Oreochromis niloticus: one gene and its partner. Each later gene encodes a partner of the first gene's protein in a complex. Links are inferred from orthologs where the notes say so. Each region holds a gene or a part of one and is shown on either strand. Other genes may lie near its edges.

What was found. The genes of interacting proteins can lie anywhere in the genome.
Region 2: the proteins of unc79 (region 1) and nalcn are in contact, whole or in part, in a cryo-EM structure (PDB 7SX3), measured with the Homo sapiens proteins. The link is inferred for Oreochromis niloticus from reciprocal best matches to the Homo sapiens genes UNC79 and NALCN. Residues at the interface, in NP_001333147.1 of Homo sapiens: Cys861, Gln862, Ile865, Glu968, Pro969, Asp970, Phe1020, Gln1022, Pro2088, Asp2089, Ala2092, Pro2093, Leu2095, Leu2096, Met2099, Leu2139, Pro2141, Asn2142, Gly2143, Ile2144, Gln2147, Leu2148, Ser2151; in NP_001337678.1 of Homo sapiens: Gln349, Met350, Phe351, His352, Glu353, Gly358, Trp359, Gln360, Leu361, Phe712, Ser713, Ile714, Arg717.

Annotation. Positions count from the first base shown.
Region 1 is NC_031983.2:11,500,371-11,507,399, forward strand, and holds the start of unc79 (protein unc-79 homolog), read right to left. Parts: upstream 3,029-7,029; 5' UTR 2,812-3,028; coding exon 2,790-2,811; intron 1,432-2,789; coding exon 1,311-1,431; intron 1-1,310. UniProt on the Homo sapiens protein: Auxiliary subunit of the NALCN sodium channel complex, a voltage-gated ion channel responsible for the resting Na(+) permeability that controls neuronal excitability.
Region 2 is NC_031987.2:23,390,580-23,398,088, forward strand, and holds the start of nalcn (sodium leak channel NALCN), read right to left. Parts: upstream 3,056-7,509; 5' UTR 3,017-3,055; coding exon of another isoform or gene 2,958-3,016; 5' UTR 2,917-2,957; exon of another isoform or gene 2,905-2,916; intron 1-2,904. Other genes in the region: itgbl1 (integrin beta-like protein 1), read left to right, coding at 6,591-6,682. UniProt on the Homo sapiens protein: Voltage-gated ion channel responsible for the resting Na(+) permeability that controls neuronal excitability. NALCN channel functions as a multi-protein complex, which consists at least of NALCN, NALF1, UNC79 and UNC80.

The sequences.
Region 1 (7,029 bases):
GAATCAACAACCTCCTCCTTTGGCTATTTCTTTTCTGCGAAGATGACACATGCCTGCTCCACTTCTCAAGGCTCGCTACTCCCACTTTCCCACTCTCTCTCCCTTTTGATTTTTTTTCTTCTATTTCTTCGCCCCGGGCTTCAGAAGGCACAGATGTATGGATAATCCTGGAGTCCCCGCTGAGGAATCCAGACTCCTCTAATGGTGGGCAGAGTGATTTTGTTCTGCATATCTGAGGCTAAGAGACTGTGCTTCGGGAAAATATCAAAGAACCGTTAACAGTGGCATCATACTGAGTGACTCTTTTCTCGCTCGCATGATACTGCCCCGCAGAGGCACAATCGTCACTCGAGTTAATGCCCATTTCCAGAGTTGCCACCCCTGTCACGCTCAATCTGTGCCCTGAGAGGCTACATTTGAAACACCCCAGTGACTGGTTCAGGACAGCCCTTCAGCAAAGTATGGAGTATCCAGGATACTCTGTGAGCACCACGGCAGAGGAATAATCCTTATGGATGGCTGAGGAGTTGTGTAGAATTGAGGCCAGCTGCCAATCTCAAATAGATTGCACCCTAAGCTGATAATAATGATAGAAGTGAGGCACACAAGTTCAGCCTCCAGTAATCCCACCATTCTTTAATAAATTAGCTAATAAGAAAAGACAGTGCCTCTGTTCTCACTGAAGCTGGCGGGTAGTAATACTGCAACCACAAGAAATATCCTATCTCTGCAGAGCATGTCTGGAAAAATGAAGCCCCAACTGGACAGAGAGAAAAAAAAGAGGAAATAGTGCTCTATTAAATTAGACGTGTTCAAAATGGCTGCCTACTTGACCTATGCTGGAAGAGGAAATAACATGCTGTTCCCTTCACAGCACCCAAGAGAGCAGGCTGACCCTGCAACTGCATAGCCGGAGGAGCTGAACTCCAGGCCCTCTGGGAAGGACACAACAAACCGCCCCAGGAAAGCGTTCATCTAGCAACCGACCACTGAATCAATAAACATCACTGAGCCATCTATCTCTGCGGCTGCCTTAAAAAGACGACACCATAATTACACAGGAAATCTGCTACAGTCTGTATCTTTCAGAGCAGAAGAGGCGAGGCAACATCTGCCATGATGGCCACTTCCTTAACCTCTTGCTGACATTATAAATTAATATGAGACATTGAATTGTGTCACTGTCATGCCTTTGAGAAAGTGTGTCAGAGCGACCTGCTGTAATTAATCTCATCTGATTGTGAAGGAAGCTAATATCAAACATTCTACAATCTTTACTTCACCTGGTGGCTCCAGAGCAGGGTACTTACCTGAGCAGGGTTTGGGAAAAGTATTTCAGTGTGTTTGCAATGTCTGTTCCGGAGGGCACTGGGTAAATATTGTGTTGCACACGGTTGTGATACTCTTGCAAGTATCGTATCTTAGAGGCAACTGGACAAAATAAAGAGCAGAGCAACAAGCAAATCAACACTAGTGAGATATGATGCACGACAGCAAAGACATATATCATGTAACTGAACAAGTTGTTAGGTAGTATTTAACATGAATCCTTCAGCTATTAAGTTAAACAAAGAGTGTGTTTTCCCATGGTTCTCTGGCCTTCACCGGGCGACCTTTTTTGGTATAGCAGCAGGTCACAGGAAGCCCTAGAGGAGGCAGTAACCTACTGCTTACAGAAACAAGCTCACACACGAAAGGTTGCCAGTTCAAGTCCCAAGACAAGCTGGGAAAATGTGGTTATAGCGAACATGAAAGGGGGCTTAAGAAGCAACACAGAGGAACATTTCTGTAATGAGCCCAGCTGGCTGCTCTATATTGAAATAATCTCTGTAGGTTCAGATATGACTGTGCTGTTTGTTGTTAGGAGTTCAAATATGTTGAAGTGGGTGATCGCTGACCCATTTTCTGTGACTTTAGGCAGGAATGTTTAGCTTCCTTCCTGACCTGTAAATGACAAACCCCAAAATAAAAATAACAGCTGCAGGCTTGGAGGATTGTCTGGTCAAAGCATGTGCTGCGATAAATACTGAAGCACAGCATCTTTCCTGTTCATCATAAAATTAAACCTCCTCAGAAAAAAAGGACTAATTTTTTAATATTTTTCAAGCTTTTAATAATATTTCGAGCTGTTAGTCACAACAGCAGATTCAGCGTTTTCTGTTCATTCCCTCACTTACTGGCTACCAAACAACAGGAGCAACACCCAACTTTTAACCAGCTGATGGGGCTGGGAACCCCTAACACTGAGTTTGACCCCGTCTTTTAGCTATTGTTTAGCGGTAAAGAATCAGAAGACAGCGGCTGGTGTCCACCTGTTCACAAGCAGCGAAGTGGAAAGAACAACAGACGTCAATATAGTGTGATCAGACCCCACGATTGATCAATATAAAGCCACCATATTGTTCAGTAGCCTGTCAGGTCGACCTTGAGACCAGCATTACACTTCGCTTTTCCCACGCGCCTCAGCCAGCCACGTCAATCAAAATAAAATAAAATTTAAAAGAAATAAATAACACGGATCACAGAGCGATCCGGACATGGAATTGTTCCATCAACACGCAGAGAAACAGAGGGTGATTCAGTGGCTCTGTGTGTGCACTGAGACCTCCAGCCATCCTCTGCAGTGAGAGGACGTGTTGCAACCTGCCTTGGCAACCGCGGTTTCATCACCAAGGACAGCTCCCCTTGTTCGCTTTCTTGGTTAAACCAAAAAAAAAAAAATCAGTTTCCAGCCCCCTCACAAGACAAAACAGAAACACGCACGCACAGATACACACAGCCGTACTTACACTGCTCTGCCTTCGTAGACATTTCGCAGACACTTGGGGAAACATAAAACCCAGACTGTCAGTTGTTTTGATAGGTTTTTCCCTTCCCGGCGTTGTGTTTCCCTCAGTCGTGAAAAAGTGACTATGCCCCCTTGCAGCCCAGGCTCGTCTTGATTGTACCACTTTGCACGACGGATTTATACGCTGTGGTGTTTTAGCTGTGCTTCGGTCGCTTTCGCGATCTTTGAACGGAAATAAAGGGAGAGCTTGTTTTGTAAATCGTTTTTATATATTTTTTTGAGGTGGTGGTGGGGATTTTGCTCTCTCGTTGCAGAGATGGGTGGTGACATATATGTGACACACCATACCTTTCCAAATGGACTGATCCGGCTTTGACAAATTGTCATTCAAGAATTCCGACAACCCTATCAGCGCTGTTTGAGCTGATTATAGGAGGGAAATACTAAGCACCTCCGCTTATTTGCCTCCGTGATGCTTTACATGTGTGTATTTGTAATGCATGAAATGCTAAACATGCAACAGATGGTTGTCACACCTTCTTAAACATAATGTCCTTGAGAAAACATCGTGGGTTTTTTTTTCCAATTTTATATAAATACAGCTGATTGGCCACCGTGGATTGGCAGCGTGTCCTAATATTTTTATACTGATATTTAGTAATATTAATACTAATCTCCACTATCAGCTGGGCGCTTTAAAGAGTACATTGTTATCCAATAACACTTTCGAGCTATAAATGTGCATGTATATGAATATTTAAGCCTGTGTCTAAATGCAGCATTTCTCATTTAAGCGGCACTTCCGCTAGTAGATGCAGGACTGAACGATAAACAGACCGCAGGGTCTGAGGTCCTGACAGACCCTTCCCATCATGGTTTCTGCCAAGAAATTTGTATGTCTATACTCCTGACTGATGGAAATGATATCCTCAAAGTGTTTTAAAGCAAAAATTTTGTCTTTTTTTTAATATCACCCTCAAAACAGTCAATAATCTCAGAAATAAAATACACAATAGTTATCATTTGTAACTGTATAGGAAAATAGCTCAGTCAGACTTCAGATTTAACAAAGGTTTTACTTTTTTTCACGACATTTTACACAGTGGAGAGAGGTTCACACAGTGACATTGTTCGGGTGCCTGTCTGCAGAGTTCCTGTAGAAATCAGTCATGTTGAGGTATTCTGGCCTTGTCTTCGATATTCTGGGATATGATGCATGATCCAGCCAGCCGGGGCCAGGAGAGTCACAGCAAACACGCATAAGGCAAAGGTAGACTGCTGTAAGAAAGTCCAATAAAATATAACCATGAGTGTTTTATTCACAGACACTGCAAATGTAATCAACTGCATGAAAGGTTATAATACACATTCAATGCAGTGTTAGTGTTGGAGCTCTCAAATATCTTCTTTGATATGTTAAGTTGAACAGAGAAGACTAAGCACCCAATGAACACAACAGAGGGCCCCGCTCTTAGTGACTCACTGCATGATATAACTTCACCTCCACCACCCACTTATATTTTCCTGCCATGATATTCCCTCTGTACCTCTCCACCATGGTATTCCTAACCTGGGATGAGCTTTGTAAAAGCCCCTATGGATGTCCCTTAGGACAGATTAACAGATTTATAGTGGCATAAACACTTCCTGCTATGCTGCAGTTCCATCATAGGATCCCTTTACAGAGGCCAGAGCGTTGCACTGACTTATAAATAACAAATGAATAAAACATCTCTTCCACTCTGCAGACTGGGGAATGCAGTTCACTTGAATTCTTCGCATTAAGGGCATTTGAACCATCACAGACACTGACTTCCCACGACCGACTTTTTTATATTGTTTGCATTTTTATACCACCATAGTCCCTAAAATTGCATTACTTGTGGTTTAGCATCCATTCAGTTTAGGAAAAATATTACTACAGTCTTTGGTTTTGTTGCAGGACATTATACAGTGTAGATATTCAGGGATGTCTGCCTGTTTAAGTGCAATTACAAGTACAATAAAAGTTAGTCAGTCCTACCACTGGCCCAATCTTTTCCTTGGGTGGCTTGCTGTAGATGGTTGACCTCTGATTTTGCTTAATGTTCTTCAGCAGCAGCAACCTGGTTAGTGTGGGTCTCCTAAAAAGCACGGACATCCTTCTTGAGACAGCTCACAGTAAATCTCGTTCACAGAAGAAAAATGTGTCTCTGGAAACTTATCCTCACATCCTGTGAGATACTGACAGATAGCCTGTACTTTTATCTAATTCCCATCACTCTTCCTGGGAGGAGTTACTTCCATGGGCCAAAGACACTCGTGTAAACATACAGAATGAGTTCTCATCACAGCAAATTCGGCCTTGGTTGTGTGCCTGAAGATTAAAATGAACTGAAAGGGGGAAATATTGGTTACAAAACATTGATTTTAAGCCTGAATGAGCACACAAGGTGTCTTTTTTAATGCTGAACAGTCGCTAGTTAAGCACACAAAGTCCTAAATTAAGAACACAGCAATCAATTGTTGGCAATATACAACATTTTTTCTCTCTAGAAAGTACACAGGACACAGAGTGCTGAAGTAGTAATATGCATTTGATGGATTTTTGATAATCCATGTAATGAATATTGATTAATATTGATAATACAACAACAACATTCAATTTAATTCAAGTTTATATATATAGTACCAGCTCACCACAATAATCAGCTGAAGGTGTTCTATAACGTTCCTACAGTACTGGAGAAAACCTCAACAATCAAGCCACCCCCAATGAGCATGTACTTTGGAACCGTGGGAAGGCAAACCTCCCTGTTAACAGGAAGAAATCACCAGCAGAGCCAGACTCATGGAGGGGAAGCCATCTGCAGAAGCCAATTGAGGGTGAGGGGAAAGAGAAAACATAAAGTCCAGTAGTAGCCTGAGCCTATAGCAGGATAACTAAGTGAATGTTTAGGGTTTGTTGACCCAGCCCCAACCATATCCTTTATCAAAAAGCAAAGTGTTGAGTCTAGTCTTAAAAGTAGAGACAGTGTCTGTCTCCTGAATCCAAACGGGGAGCTGGTTCCACAGGAGAGGGGCAGCACAGTTGAAGGCTCTGCCTCCCATTCTCCTTTTAAAAACTCAAAGAACCACAAGTAAACTTGTAGTCTGAGAGTGATCTGTTGGGATAATATGATACTATGAGGTCTTAAAGATATGATGTGGCCTGATCACTGTGAGGAAAATAATTTTGTAAGGCAATTCTTGATTTAACAGTGGATTAACCAGAGGCTTTGTAGAGAATATTTAGCTATCAATAACTGTATTACTATCACTACACAACTTGTATGTTAATTCCATATATAGATAGAAATTTTGTCATTTCAAAAAAATATTATGGTATCACAACCAGAACCGCTTAACAAAAATCTTTAAAAGATAGTCTTCACAAATCAACACAAAGACAGGCCGATCTAGATGTCTGAGTAAATCTCTTGTATTTCTGTTCTGTTCCATTCTATTCTGTCCTTCTATTTAATAGACTGGAGGACAGACTGCCTGAATAAAACCAAAGACATGTATTGCTTAACTTTGTCATTTAGGGCTTTTCCTTTTGAATTTCTTAATCAGGGTAATTGCAGGGTAATTGTGGATTTATATCAACACGACAGGTCGATGTAAATAATAAAACAGTGTCCATTGTTTATGATTATTTTAAACCTATAGTGTACATACAAAAAGGTTTTGGCATTCACATTACATGTATTCTGTCGCCCTCAACAGGATGCAGTAAGAACTAGATCTAGCTGGGAAATAAGAACCAACTTTATCCCTGAAGTCTTTACTACTAGCATACCTGTTCACATAATAGTCGACACTGAATAAGACAAATATTCCAAATCGAACAGTGTTATGGGATCAATACGTGTATGTATTGCAAAGATGCATTGCAGCCGTTAGCTTTAACATAATAATCAAGGCGAAAATTGGTGGTGCAGCCTGCATCATAGTAACGTCATCTCATAGGTCTGCCTCTAAATGAAAGAGGGAAAGGTTAATAGACAAAACATGCACTGGGTTGCATTGTCTGGATCATTTTCTATAATATTATACTTAAAATTGCATACCGCTGTTCGTCACAGCTCCCGATTCTCCTGCAGAATTACTGACAATGTCATCAGTTATATAAAACGTAAAGGGAAGCTGAAAGTACTGTCTTGACCATATGATTGTGACACGTACGTAGCCCATTTCTGACTACTGCCACCAATTAAACG
Region 2 (7,509 bases), on another chromosome or scaffold:
ACTCTAAGTTAGGGTTGGAACGAAGGCAGAACAATGTAACGGTATCACATCCTTGTTTCCTTTTTATGCCCCCACCAAGAAAAGAAACTGTCCATCCATCCTACAAACCCCATGTAGTTAGAAGCAATTTCCCAGTGTAATTGCTACACTTAACATATGCAGATGGAGACGTGAGGAAGAGTGAAAACAAAATTACAGGGTCTAAGTGCTATTATGTGGGAGTATAGGTGGCAAAGACTGCAATTACTTTCCCATTTGGAGAAAGGACATGTTCCTCACGGGAAAAAATGTGATCTCTGGGCACATTAATTGTAACTGTGAGTATTTGTTTGAGTATGCAAACTTTCTTGGTTGAACTTCTATTTTTGAGTGCATTTTGAGGGCAGCATCTTCTTTCAAGACACAAGAAATACTTTTGTAGATGTGGGCATGCAGCTCATTTGTTCAATTCTTTATCTCTTAACCATAACCTACAATGATATTCAGGTATTCATAGCTGCTCTAGCACAAACCCCCTGTATGGTTGTTTATGAAAAAGTTTTTTTTAAGTTAGTGGCACTTTTCATACAGTGTCTAAGGATGAGAGAATAATAACGCCGCAATAGCAATAGCATTAACCTCTACTTTCATTTCCACAGATAAGTTTTGTGTAACATTTCATCTGAAGATTTCAATTTGAATAAAATATCCCAAAAAATCACACAGACAAATTTACACTTTTTTGCCTGTGTACACTAACACAGTGGGTTTTAAATCAAACAATCAAGACATGATTGAAGTATAGACTTTTAGCTTTAATTCAAGATGTTTAGCAAAATAAATGCCTTAACTGTTCAGGAATTACAGACCTTTTTATACATAGAATAACCCCACAAGGGAAAGAACTGGGATATTTATTAATTACCATGTCAGACACATGTGTCTTAGTGCTACAGAGCATACTTTTCACTTACTGACTGACAAAACTAAATGTAGACCCACAAACAAGCAGCAAATGAAGGCCGCTGCAGCAGCCTTAGTAGAGCATCGTAACAGAGGAAATACAGCATTTGGTGTTGGCCATGGATTCTAGATTTCAGACATTCATTAACTGAACAGGATTTTCATCCAAGTATTAAAAACAGTCGTGATATTTAAAATGATGTTAGTTTGTCCAATTAATTTTGAGCCTCTCAAATAGGGGCGTTTGTTTAAAACTGGCTGTAGTTCCCTAATGCAGTACTTTTGCGAAGTACCTCTTGAATTAAAGCTGAAAGTCACTTCAATCAAATCTTGATTATTGATTTTAAATCCACTTGGTGTAAAGAGGCAAAATTTTAAAAAAAAAATGTGTTACTGTACAAAAAATGTGTGGACCCAACTGTATACCAAAAGCATAAAATGAGCTAAAAGGCAGACTTTGAAAATACATTTTATTAAGGAGTTTAACAGTATTTAAACCTTTCATTTACTCATTGCACCAGTTTGTATTTTTTATATTTTTTTTTTATATTTTACAAAGCTCCCACGAGGGCAAAGTAAACTAGTGCTATACCTTCAAATGAATTCCCCCAAAGGTTCCAAACTAAGACTCTAACTACTTTGTCTTGCATACAAAGCCAAAGTGATCAGAAAAGCAGATTCATAGGAATGCTGATAATTTAGGTCAGACCTTTACAACTATTCAATGGTAGGCCAGTAGTGTGGGTATATTTAAAATGAGGCTGACAAAAGCTGAGAGTGGTGACAATGAAAAGTAAAGTGGTAAGCCATTACAGCAAAAGCAAAGACCTAAAAGACACTCCAATGCTTCACACATCTGAAACAGCTGGCTCTGCAGGATGATAAATGTGTAACTACTACTATGAGTGACCCACTTCACATTTCAAACTCACATTCATCTTATTCAGAAATATTGTATGTTGATACAGATGTTAAATATTGTGATTTTTTGATGATGTCAACATTAAATATCGAATAGCACTTAGTATGTCACCTAATGACTGATTGTATTCAAATGCATTCCAAAGGGATGCACAGATCAGCATTGGTAGCAGCCAACAGTTGTGTGACGCTGGCCTTTTTTGCAAATAAAATGACATTTTCCACTTTCAGGAGCTGGTGTTTATCTGCTTTGTCAGATCAAATCACTGGATAGATGTTCCAGGAAGTGTCGTGAAGCTGTGAAAGATTTTAAAACTGAACAGTTACAGCAAAATGAAAATGAACAAATTTACATTGGCCCAGGTGTTTAAACTAGTGGATCCCCAGCATTAAATATTACAGGATGCCAATGTTCCTGTAATGCTTGTAGCATTTCTCCTATGTTTTAAGGTTTCTTCTTGAGACCATAACTGCACAAACTGTGATGAGGTGCTTATATAACCTTGAAAATGTTCTAATTAATCGATGTCAGAGAAGGAACACCAGGATCAGGCTTCCTGATTGGAAACCACGAGGGGCTCACGAGCAAATGTGAAATCCTAAAACCATTTCGGGAAAGCCACTGACAGGCTGCAGCATATGACCGACCCCACGTCGTGCAAAATGGCTGTCAAACCGCTGGATATCCATACTGTGACTGAAAGCTGAATGAATGACGTCGGACGAGCCAAGGTTACTATGGAAACGAATATGAGCAGGTGCTATAGGCGCAAAAGCAAGCTAAATACAACAATATACATGAATATGTTCAAGTATAGGGCCTACATGAAGCTATATAATACGTAACAACCTGACCACGTGACAGCGTAGCAAATACACGGCAATGTTTCACGAAGGCCTACTCCGGAGGATGAGATTTTCCTCACTTCCTGGAGGACCAGTAAGCTAGCGCGCGGCAGCACCTAGCCTCAGACGCATCCTAAAAACGTAACTGCTGAAAGTGACTCGCGACGGGTGGAGAAGCAGAGAGAAGAAACACGTTGAATCACTTACGAGAGGAGGGTTTCTTTTATCTGCCGCGTCCAGCACTGTCCATGACATCAGCTGTTTTCCGGCTGTGTTGGGATCGTATGGAGAACGCGGGAGCGCGCAGGTAGCAATCACATCAACAGCACCAGTGCGTGCTGCGGAGGCGCGCAGCCGTTTCCGTGGTAACAGTTTAAGCTCGCCATGCTGCTCTATCACATCATACAAGTATATTTATTTGCATTATTGGTAATCACTTGATACACAGTTAATTTGATCAGACTATGTCATTATTATTATTATTAACTTTGTTTCCACTCCTTTGCCAAGCTGATACACAAACATGCTTATCAGGTTGGCAAAGCTTGTCTATGAGACAGATTTGCTCAAAGACAGTACAAAATGTAGAGACAGTTGTCTGAAGATAGGTTTGTCCTAACAATTAATTAAATTTAATATGCATTTTAATAATCATATTTGCCATATTTGATTATTTAAATTTTATTAAATTACTTGTTTATACTCTAAGATTAGTAAGAGAGAAAGCAGTAACAATGGATAACTATCAGATATACATAAACACATACATATAAATAAACAGTAGAAGCAATATATCGTTACAAAGAGGGCAATTCTTGAAAGAATACAACCACTGGATGTGTGTTAAATCACAACTGTGCTTTTCATGTTATAGAAAGTAAAGTACAAAAGTGAAAACTTGGATTTCTTACTAAATTTCTGTGATATTTCAAGTGACCTGGCTTCACCTGATTTGATATTGCATGGCTGGGTATATTGTCCAAACGTGAGTGTAGTTTCGGTCGTAGTAAATTCAGTAACTGAGATGCAGATTGGTTTTAACCAAAATATCCTTTCGCCATTTAGTTGCTTGAAATCACCCAGAGGTGCGGCAGTATCTCTTAGAACCGGTTGATTATTTGCCATTGATGTGCATTGTTGTTAAATATAATCTTCTGAATTGCTCTAGTAGGGAAATTAAGCCTGCTAATCACCTCATTCTATTTCAGTATTTTAGTGAGCTATGATAGTGTGATATTGACCTGAACCCTGAACTCCATCTGAGCAACCATTATATATATTATGGGCTACATTTTGTTTTGGCATTGTAGGGGCCATATTTAGTGGGGCATCTGGATTACATGCAGAGATTCAGGTGTCTTGTTAAACCACTTAAAACTGACCTATGACTCATTCAAAGGATAAACCAGTGTTGTGTCTATGCATAATTTAACAGCATAACAGACAAACCTAGCAAATAACCCATTTTATGGGTTATTTGTATTTTTAGGCACTTTTTATTAGCAGCCTGTCATAAAACACATAATTCATTCCAATTTCTTTAGTCAAATCTGCTAAAAATGTCAACAATAACAGTTCAACAGGCATGACATAGTATTTTTGCACAAACAAAGTGATTTCCAAAGAGCTGTTAGCCCAACTTGTCAGCCCAAAAAACTATGTGCAGTAGTTCAACAGTATCTTGAGTGATATCCTTAAGAAATGGGAAAAAATCCAGCAAAGACACGAGACATGAGAAATCCATCTGACCCTTAAATTGACCCATCTACTCTTTATTGATGAAATGGTCTCTGTGGAAGGGCTTAAAATAATTAGCAACAGGTCTTATAAAGGGATGAATTCAAATTAAAACATTTGGATCAAAATTCTCGTCAATATGTATGAAGGAGGTTCAACAGTGTAAATCTGTAAAACACAGTTATTTTATTATGGTTTGTGAGTGCATTTGCTCTAAGTCAGTGGTGTCAACATTGAACTGAATTATGAATGCAGAAAACTGTGGTCAGAGTTTTATCCACCATACAGTATCATCTGGAAAGAGTCTGATCAGACTCTTTCCAGATGATACTGTATGATGCCTCATACAGTAGGGCCTCATAGGGCCTCATTTTTCAACATGGCAATGATCACAATCTCCATGCCATTGTAGTAAAAGCATACCTGAATAGAAAAAACATACAATGGAACACTATGAGTATGGATTAGCCTCCCCAGAGTCTGAAACTCAACATTATTGAAGCAGTGTGCGATCATCTTGACAGAAAACAGAACAAAAGGCAGTGAACATCCACAGTAGAGCTTCATGAAGCTGGAGAACTATTCCTGAAGGCTATTACAAGTAAGCTTGTCTAAGAAAGTTCAGGCTATGTTGAAGAATAAAGATAGTCATACCAAATATTGACTTTGCAGCTCGTTAGAACTGTATAAAATCTGTTTGTGCTCTATGTGCTGTATTTCCACTTATGTTTATGTATGTTTCAATAAATCACTGCACCTATATCCAGTGTTTCTAATGGGAAGTGGCTCAAAACTGTTATGCAGTACCCTAAGTACTCCTCTGTTATGCTACTTTCTGTTTCTACTCTACTGTTATTTTGTACACAACATTGAACATCGTGCACTATACCATTTATTTAAAGCCTCAATTCCCTATTATTTTGGAGGTAAATAACATTATTATAGATAAAGCTACCATGCAATAAAACTGCAACAGCTGCCACATTAAAGGGATTTGCTTATCAAAGTATCAATTATTATGATAAAATGTGAACAGTTTTTCTTTTCTTTTTGTCCAGTTTGCAAGATAATTATCCAACACAAAGTTGTTTTGATCAGTTTTCATGTCATAGATGTGAAATGCAGAACATCACTCCATCTCCTGTAAACATAACCAAGATATCTTTTTGTTTTCTGTATGAATTTTACAAAGAAAAATTGACAAATTTATAAAAACAAAAAACCCAAAGCGGCACCATGCTAACAATTCACCGTATACAGGAATATACCTGTTTGCCAGAGCAGAGGTTTGCTTTGCTTTCAAATAATTATTCTTATTATCATTATTTAATATTATCCCTGCTAAGTCAACTCACTAAAGCCATGATTTACTCTTATTTCTTGTATTTGTGCAAACATCAGAAATGTGGCTCACACTTAGTCAATATTCAACCCGCTGCTCCTTTTCTCCTCCACTTCCTTCAACCTAAAGGAACATGATGCTAGAGGACAAGCTGTGCAGCTACTCACAAAGATCACAGCATTTTGTGTTGTGTTCATATATATGTGTTTTTGTGTTTACCACAAAAGACTTATTGGTTTTGTGAACTACTGATTTGAATTCATAATGTGGGAATAAGAGCAAGACATTCATCTTCAAGCAGTTTCTCTGAACAATTCCTCGGCTTCTTTTATGACAAATGGATACGCTCTAAATACTGGGGCGGGGGCTTGCCTCCTTTGACTCTGGATCTTATTTATTATTAAAACACCAAAAGAAAACTTAGAAATAAAAACACTGCAACGTAGAGAGATCATCTGGAAAAGGAAAGGGGAAAGATTGAAACAAAAAAAATTTAGAGAAGCCGTCTGCTTCTAATTACTTCTCAAACTGGTGACTTAGCTTTTCATTTTGGCAGGTTTCCCTACTTTAGCTCCTGCCCAGGACTGTGTCTGAGAGTCAAGACTAATCAAAGGCACTTGCATGTGGAGGACTGTTGGCCTCTGAAGGAACCGAGCCAGTTCAGGCCAGCCTGCTGCGTTTTCTCTCCTTTACTCCTTTTCTTTTCCCTCTCCCTCTCCCTTCTCTTCCTGTCTGTTTCAGGAGTGAAGGATTGGGGCATTCCTTCAAGCTACTTTACTTCAGCTTTCTGTGGGATTTAAACATGCACACTGAGGTTTTGGTACAGTCCATGTTAGTGCCGTTGTTTCTGATCCTTCTCTCTTTCATTGAGGACTCTTTGTTGCAGTCGGTGAGGTGAGTTTGCTTTGTTTTTTTTGTTGTTTTTCTTGTTTATTTTAGGATAGCTTGGAGAGCAAGAAGGAAAAGGGAGGTGCAGACTTTTGCTGACAAAGGCGACACTTAGAGAGTGCAATGTGGGAAAGTTTAGGAAAGTCTATTCCTATAGTTCACACTTGTTTCCTGTGCAGTTTTCTTTATGCCACTTTACTTGCTATCATAATGCTGCGTGTGTCTCGGATTCTGTCGTCTAACATTGGATGCAAACTTTTTTTCTGTTTTGTTTTACTTTCTTTTTGCACAGCTCAGCTTACATTCTTTTGCAGTTGAGCTTATTGTGAGAAAAACAAATCTCCAGTTTAAAAGGATTTGCTGTGGTATCAGTTTATAGCAACAAGCAAAATCAAAATAAGGAGGAAAAGCCCATATTATGCAACAGAAAAGGGTAATTGCAATGAATTATTTTGTATCAGAGCTTTTACTTGTTTTTACCGAAACAACGAACATTCAAGTTTAAACCTCTAATACAAACTGTAAATGGAAACAAAAGGACATCAAGTCAGTCACTGAAACTGGATACAGTAACGAATATAAGACTCATTTCTGTTTACCTTGCTACTCTAAAGTCGAGCCCTGGTTAGCAGAACTGTAAATATTTAACGATGACATAAAGTTGTGGGTGTTTACTCTTTAGCAGGTGCACCGTGCCTCTGTAGTGATTACATTGCATATGTAGTGTACAGGGGATATTTATTGAACAGCTGCAGCTAACCCACACATGCATTGCAGAAAGCAACAGCTACTGGGAATCCAGGTAGTTGCAATACTTTCTTCAGTTTTTCCAA